2 linked regions of the Ovis aries genome follow. The protein of the gene in region 1 purifies or fractionates together with the protein of each later gene. This does not show direct contact. Links are inferred from orthologs where the notes say so. Each region holds a gene or a part of one and is shown on either strand. Other genes may lie near its edges. The genes, in order: MPHOSPH10 and IMP4.

Region 1 (3,813 bases):
CTCCAACAACTCTTTTTCCAAAGATGCAATTTTTTCATTCATCTGAGAAAGAGACAGGAAGAGTTACCACACATTTGGAAACAGACATACAGGTGAGTAAAAGCAACTAATATTTTTACTAGCGGGAGAGCAAGAAATGCATTGTTTCTGAAAAAAATCCCGCTTTGTCTTTGCATTTTTTAAGGATGGCAATAGTGACTTCTACACCTATCCGGAGGTAGGATAAGGAGCTGTAAATGACCTCTTTTCCGCACTCATTTGAAATGTTATGTTTAGTATTTACTCACTTCTCCCAGAAGCATCTGGGTGTATTTCTGGGCTCTATTCTAGTGAAACTGACCTATTTTATTTATTCACAAGCCACTATCAACTTAATTATTAGGGCATTCCAAGACTAAGTAATTTTTTATCAAAGCATCAGTATCTGATGGAGCCTGAACCTTCTGATTCCAGGCTTTCCAGGTGGCTCAGTGGTAAAGAATCCACCTGTCAGTTTCTGGGTTGAGAAGATCCCCTGGAGGAGGAAATGGTAACCCACTCCAGCATTCTTGCCTGGGAAATGCCATGAACAGAGGAGCCTGGCGGGCTGCAGTCCAGGGGGTGGCAAAAGAGTCACACACGACTGAGCACGTATATACTACCCCCTTGATCCACACCCACAATCCAAATTATCTCTAATGTCTAAAGAGGTGGCATCTATAATGACTTAATTGTGTACAAGAAGATAGCATTTTCAGTAACCATACCAAATTATTTTTCCTAATAGCTTTCTAGTTCACCTGCTTGGTTTTTCTAGTTCTCTCTCCAAATATGAAAGCTTTCATTTCGGTTTTCTCATCTCTTATTAGTGTTTTCTTTCATAGTTGCCCTGGCTGAGTAACACTTCTATAAGAATCTTAAGTAACAGTGGAAATAGTAACAGTGGTAATGGAAATAAGTCTAACTCTTGATTTTAAAGGGACGTTCCTAGAATTCTACCAGTAAGCAGGATGGCAGATTTTGGCTAGATACGCTTATATTTCACTAAAAGTAAAAAAAAAAAAATTAGGAATGAATATTGAATTTTACTAAATGTCTTTTTTTTTGACACATATGGAGGTGACTACATGATTTTTCTCCTTAACCCACTGTAACAAGTATTAAGTTACATTAATAGATTTCCTAATCCTGAATCAAGAGGATGAGGCCCACACAGCTGTGGTAACGTTACTCTTTCATTGCACTATTTTGCGTTTCTACATCACTATTCACAAATGAGACTGTGCGTGTTACAAGGTTACCTGTCAGGTTTGGGTATTCATGTAATCATAGTTTCACAAGAAGACAATTTGGAAGCTTCACTCTTCATATGAGGGAAATGATCAAACAGTACTAAATTATCCACTTCTTGAAGGCCAGATACAATTCCCCAGTAAACTAAAGCCACTTTATTTATTTTTTTTGTGGCAGTGTAAGAAGGGAAGGTCACTAATTCAAGGACAAATTTCTCATTTTCTTTCACTTTTTTCCCCTTAAAGACTTTCTCTTCAGGAACAATCTGATAATCATAGGTTTAACTCAGATTCTCTTTTTAAAATAATGTTCTTGATATCCTTGATATCTTTGGTTATTTACTTATTCTCATTTCAAGCTGTGTGATATAATTTTAAGACAGTTAAATGATAAAGCACAATGTCTGGAGCCAGGCTATATCTATTATTTTCAAACAACATTTTGTTTGTCTGACAGCATGTCATAAGGAAATAATTTTTATCAACTTTGGAAAATGTGTTTGAGATGTTATTAATTAGAATTCTGGCTGCACGGCACCTCACTGCTGCTGCTAAGTCCTGTCAGTCATGTCCGACTCTGTGCGACCATATGGACTGCAGCCTACCAGGCTCCTCCATTCATGGGATTTTCCAGGCAAGAGTACTGGAGTGGGTTGCCATTGCCTTCTCCGATACAAGCAATTGAAGCGGTTACCAGGAGAGGCTCATAGGACAGCCAGTTAGGAAAAAACCTGTCTCAGGTATAAAGACAGCAAGGCCAGAGAAACAAGTTTTACACATGGGCTCCATACTGAAAGCGACAGGTGGGGAAAGGCAGCACTGAATTTTGTAAATTGGCTGCTTCCCACGTGGAAGCACTGCCACAGAGAGCAACAAGATTTTTTTTTTAAAGGATAATTAGGTGTACCATCAAAAAAAACAAGCCCCCTGCCATCCACACACACAGAAAACCAGGGCAGATTAGTTGGTAGTCTGAGTTCAACAGTCACTGTTAAACATAATTTAAAAGTCCCTTAAATTTGCTAATTATTACCTTTTCTTGTCTTTTTTCAAAAGAGGATTTGACTTCATCATAGTCTTTCTGTACATTTAAGACATTTGTATCTTCAGTGTCCTCATCATTGGGCAGAGCAAAGGTCACTCTTTTCGAGGTTTCTTTATGTTGTTTACTGTCTCCACTTTCTTCAAGGTCATCATCTTCATCCCTATGAGACCAAAACACTTATGAAAGGAAGCATACCAGTTTTCATTAGAATATCAAAAAGAAACAAACTTAGCAGTTAAATTTCTTTTGTAGACAATGCAATTAAATACTAAGAACTTCCAGTATTTAGGTAAAATAGAACAAAGTATCCAATATCTAGAAAACAAATTATTTATCAATCTATAATACAGACTTATCTCACCTAAGTAACAACAGGGTATTTTTATTGGCACAGAAAACATATCAGAGCTCCTGGTAAGGAAGGTCTGCCTGCTACTGCCAGTCACACTGATTTGCACTAGGTCGTCTCTGACGTCCCTTCAAATTTGGAGACTTCCTCTGGCTATTCTGAGACTGTCTGACCTTAGAGAATCCCACTTCTAAGGACAATCACATCTGATGATTAGTAGTACACAGATGACTGGGCAGCTCCAGCTTACAGCGTAAAGGACTCAAAATACTCACGTCTCAGAAATGCTTTCTTCTCCTTCTTCAGCAATCTCTTCCTCTTTATCTGAAGCCAGTTCACTCCCATCATCGTGGACACTTGCTACATCTTCATCACTTTCAACTGGATCAAAGAAATCTTTGTATTTCAGGTTTCTGGAACTTTTACCTGACTAAAACAAAAATACTTTTAAAACCTTTAATCAAGGATAGAAAAATACATTAAATCACGCATAAATGTGTATGCATACTGTATAGGGGAAGTCGGCAACAATAACACTACTACAAAACCCTAAGAACTATTAGACCACAGCAAACTGAACAGAAGCACAGATTCATTTATAACTGGTAAGACAGAGCACCACAATCTTCTCTCAAAATCTTCTAACTACAAGTAATTCCAAAACATCCCTGACTACATAAAGTATACAAATATCTTCTTTCATTCTTATTCTTAGTGCTTGGTGAAAATCCATGTTTGAGGGAAAATTCTGAATCTCCGTAACATGGATGACTGTGATTCTGAAGCTACAAAGGAGTGTTTCATGATAAGGAAATGATGGCTTTGCTTTAATTTCTCCAGTCCCTTTCTTTTTTTAAAAAAAAAAACTGATCTAAATATTTCACTGATCCTCTGGTGAATTTTGAAGTCTTTTAACCCTCTTCTGGAGAAACAGAACCCCATCTCATGTGATGAAGCAGAAAGAACACTCTGTCCTCTCCCCAAACTTTACCTTAAGATCCTGGCCTCCAAACAGTCCTCCTTCATCTTCATCGGAATCCACATCTTCAAAAAAATCAATATCATCTTCCTCTTGGTCATCTCTGTGTTCCTCTTCCTTTTCCATGTTTTCTAAAAAGGTCTCCATCTCAGAGAGCTTGAAGAATTTA
Region 2 (4,337 bases), on another chromosome or scaffold:
GTAGTAATCATGACCTTGGGATCCTCAACCCCTGCCCAGCGATACTCATCATCTACGTGGTTGGTCACACCTGTGAGGAGCGTGAGGCACGAGAACACGATATTGCCGAGGGAAGCGAAATGCTAATGCCCAGCGGCCAAATCCACCTAGAACAACACTGTCTTGACAATACCAGCAAGAATGGAAATGCTCTGTACCTGCTCTGGGCAACAGGGTGGCCCCTGGCCAAACTGGCTACAAGCACAAGTGTGATCGAGGAACTGAATCTTTATATTTGATTCTAGTTCATTTAAGCTCTGGTAATCACATGGAACAAGTAGCTACCATGTTAGCACAAGTCCAGATTCTGTTAAGGCCCAGAGTAACAGACTCCTTTACCTCACAACAAATATTTATGCTGTGATTCCTTTCATATTTGTTGAATAATGCAATGAATCAAACATCTGGATACCAATGAAGTACTGGTAGCTGGGGACACAAATGAAAATAACGACACTGTTCTGTCCCAGCAGAACCTACATTCCTAGTGAGAGGGCCAATTAACAGACAAAACGAAGTACAAAGTGGGGTAATACTGTGCCATGTAAACAGAACTGGGAGCACTCAGTGAGAGGTCCCCTGAGGTGTCATCTGTGCACAGCCATGAGGGTGCCTGGAAGACCGTTTCAGGATCAGGAGCTTCACAGCCTTTCTTCAAGGTGTCTCAGGAATGACACAGAAGTTAGTGGACTCAACTGCAGGAAGAGAAGCTGGCCCATAGAGTCAGGGAAGGTCACCTTCACCGCCGGCATCCTCAAACTCCAGAGACCCCTGTAAGGCCAGAGCTTCCTTGCGTAACTCGGTGGGAATCAGGCGGTTCTCTGCAGGGGGAAAACAGAGAGGTTGAGAAAGACATGCATAGAACCTTCAGTTTTTACAACACTGTACAGACTTGATGGAAAAACACCCCTTTACTCGTTTCTGAGCAGAGAGCTGATATGTAATTAGAGGTGGAGGTGGTAATGAAACAATTATTTTTGGCTATATGCCACCTTGTTAAGAGTGTTTATAGATGATTTCATTTACTATGGGTCCTGAGTGTCAAGACTTGAGAGGTTTCTAAACTATGTACCCACAAGTATGCATTCCCTTTGTAGTCAGAAAAAAATTAACAACGTTAAAAAAATAAATGGAAACTACTCATTCTGTATTAAGGTGGATCAGAAACCCTCAAATCCTCTGACATTAAAATCATTAATTGTGATGCTCTGGGTCAGAGGTTCCCTCTGTGAACTAAGGCTAGATTTGGCAGAACGGCTGGGCTGTGTGGCCATGCCCACTTTGGAGCATGTCCTTTGAACCCAGAACTTCTAACATACCCTGGACAAACTCTTGCACACTGAAGACAGTGTTCACAGCAGCAGGGCTGACCCAAACTAAAAATAAGCTGTCCACCCCCAACAGTGAATTGGATGAAGACCCTGTGGAATATTCACCTGCAGGAGCCTCACCTACACTCAATGTATCTTAGTAACAATGCCAAACAAAAACATAACGTGGCAAAAGAATACACAAAACCTAATACTACCTAAAATCAACCAATGTGATTTAGTATTACAAACAAGCATGATACAGGCAAAAAAGAAGAGGAAGGAAATGGCTTATTTTTAATCAATATTCAATACTGTGGTTCTCTAGGTCGGCGAAAATATTTCTGAACTTCAATATATTTATCAGTTTCATTTTTTAACATGAGTAGATAGGTCATTACAGCAGGAGCTCAGTCCCAAGGGGATCCATGGGCAGCAGTCTGCCAGGTTCCTCTGTCCCTGGAATTTTCCAGGCAAGGATACTGGAGTGAGTTGCCATTTCCCACTCTGGGTTTGAACCCACACCTTTGCATCAGCAGGGTAGATTCTTTTACCACTAGCACTGAGAAGCTCTGTTTTACATTATGCTTGACATAAATATACATATACATACCACAATACTTTACATGTCTAAAACCTAAGACAATCAAAGTGAATTTAAAACAGAGGTATTGAGTTGATGTACTATCAGGAAACAGAGCTCCACCAACACAAGAACCAACAAGATACATATAAATAAAGCATTTCCAATCAGGCATGTGTGACAGACTGCTTTAACAGCAGGGCAAATGGAAAGTGGGCAAAATATCGCAAAGTTAAATTCCTAATTTACAACGCAAATAAAATCAAGTTCTACACGAATTAACAGTTTTCAAATACAAGGGACTTGTAACAGTAGTAAAAGACAATCAGATATTACCTTGTAGTGAAAACAGGTAGCAAGAACAGAAACGATGCAGGGGAAATAGGTATAGGACCACGTGAAATGTTTAAATCTGGAAAGGCCTAGACACTGCAACTTAGCGACTAAACAACAATAAAGACACTGTAAATAAAATTAATAAGCAAGCTGTAAAATCTGGATACTGTAACATAAATGACAAGTAATTCATACCATCTTGAAAGGAACATTTGCAAACCATGAGGAAGATCGAACAGTTAGGAAAATGGCCAGTAAATACGTGAAAGGATACTCACCACCCTAACAAAGTAAACGCTAATTAAACGCGTTTTACAGCATTGGGGCCTGTTTCTTGTTGGGTTTTAAAACTACGGTCTCTAGAAAAGATCGGAGAGCGGGGGACACACGTACCCTCAAGCGCGCGCCGAACCTTGTCTTTCCTCTCCTGGGCCGTTCGCTCAGCCTCCTCTCGTGCCTTGCGGTACAGGTACTCGCGGCGAAGGCGGGCCTCGCGGCGCAGCTGGGGAAGAGCGGGCCCATTCAGACGACCCGTTTTCGCCAAGCAAAGCAGGCTCCAGAAACATACGCCCCGACCTCACCGGCCACAACCCCAGCTTCCACGAGCCCCCGACCTCCAAAACAGGAGTTTAAAACATCCCTCCTACCATCCTGAGCGCAACTTCCACGTGGGTCCAGGAGAATCTTTGGATACCGCTTGCGCAACGCAGTCCTCGCTTCCGCCGGCCTCACTTCCGCCCTTAATCAAAAGTCGGTACAGACCTCATCGGATTCCGCTGATTCCTACAATGCCCGAAGTTAAAATGGCTAACAGGTGGGAGTCGATTGGCCAGACTGAAGGGCGTGCTCACTGAAGCAACCAATAGGCAGGATAGGGCAGCAAGGTGCTGTCACGCGCTTAGACCGGCAGTTAATAAAGGCGACAGCCCGGCTTCACTACCTACCGCGAGGAGGCGAATGTTCGATTTGAAGGTGAGGAACCCCTAAAATAATCATAACTGTAGGCTCCAGCAGGTGTAAAAGCTGTTCAGCGATTGACCAGATGATCGCCTACTCGCCCATTCTGAAATTAAAGCCGCCTCTCCTTTAAAATGGACGCCTCGGTTTCATCGCCACTCCGACAACCCTACGTTTAAGTCGCGGCCGCTTCCAGAAGTGATTCGGAGATACCCACAGCTCTTGCCGACTGTCCGGGTGGCTGGTCCCCTTCGGATGCTTGCCTGACGAAGGTTATCACTTCCAGGGTCGCAGCTCTGAGGCCGCGCTGATCCTGAAAAGCGCAAAGCAGCCAGCCACAATCCACCCAAGACTGGGAGCCCCAGAGAGGGCGGGCCTCGCACGCCTATTGGCTGTCCTGCTAGGCCGGCGGACACTGATTGGGCGACCCGTCAGGAGCCGGCTCTCGACCCTGCGTAGCAGATGGCTTCTCGGGATCTGCGGGCAGAGCTGGACTTTCTTCTCCTGCAGCTCCTCGAAGACCTGGAGCAACTGGAGGCGAAGCGGCAAGCGCTAAACGCCCGGGTGGAGGAGGTGGGAGCTTCGGGCGGGAGGGCGGACTGGCCAGCGCACGGAAGTTACCTTGTTTCACCTCTCTCTTCTCTCTTCCCAGGGCTGGCTCTCGCTCTCCAAAGCGCGCTATGCAATGGGTGCCAAGTCAGTAGGGCCCCTGCAGTATGCGTCCCACATGGAACCCCAAGTCCGCGTCTGCACCGGGTGAGGAGCCTTGCATGCTGCAGCGGGTGGGCGGACAGAGGGCCGGGCCGGCGCCGCCAAAGGTCCAATCTCCCTTCTCGTTCTGTAGCGAGGCTCAGGACGGACTCCAGAAGTTCTGGATGGTGAGAGCCGGCACCCAGACTCCAGAAGAAGTGGGATCCCGCGAGGCAGGTGAGCTCCCCCTCTTCTTCCCGTCGGGTCCCTTCCCATATAAAAGATAAAATGCATGGGACGTCTGAGGAGATGATTTTATTTAGGCTGTTGCGATAGAGCGCGCCCCAGTTCTGAAGATCTGAATCTCTCAGCAGAGCGGGTTTTTTGCCTTAGATTTATAGGGGGAATAGAAAGTTATGAGT

The links.
Region 2: the proteins of MPHOSPH10 (region 1) and IMP4 purify together in Homo sapiens (affinity purification with mass spectrometry; 3 studies listed by BioGRID and IntAct, with this or other methods). This does not show direct contact. The link is inferred for Ovis aries from reciprocal best matches to the Homo sapiens genes MPHOSPH10 and IMP4.

Annotation. Positions count from the first base shown.
Region 1 is NC_056071.1:25,153,798-25,157,610, reverse strand, and holds part of MPHOSPH10 (U3 small nucleolar ribonucleoprotein protein MPP10), read right to left. Parts: coding exon 3,657-3,813; intron 3,096-3,656; coding exon 2,941-3,095; intron 2,477-2,940; coding exon 2,305-2,476; intron 43-2,304; coding exon 1-42. UniProt on the Homo sapiens protein: Component of the 60-80S U3 small nucleolar ribonucleoprotein (U3 snoRNP). Required for the early cleavages during pre-18S ribosomal RNA processing. Part of the small subunit (SSU) processome, first precursor of the small eukaryotic ribosomal subunit.
Region 2 is NC_056055.1:114,189,156-114,193,492, reverse strand, and holds the start of IMP4 (U3 small nucleolar ribonucleoprotein protein IMP4), read right to left. Parts: upstream 2,968-4,337; 5' UTR 2,919-2,967; coding exon 2,916-2,918; intron 2,771-2,915; coding exon 2,662-2,770; intron 861-2,661; coding exon 777-860; intron 71-776; coding exon 1-70. Other genes in the region: CCDC115 (coiled-coil domain-containing protein 115), read left to right, coding at 3,688-3,798, 3,878-3,981, 4,070-4,152. UniProt on the Homo sapiens protein: Component of the 60-80S U3 small nucleolar ribonucleoprotein (U3 snoRNP). Required for the early cleavages during pre-18S ribosomal RNA processing. Part of the small subunit (SSU) processome, first precursor of the small eukaryotic ribosomal subunit.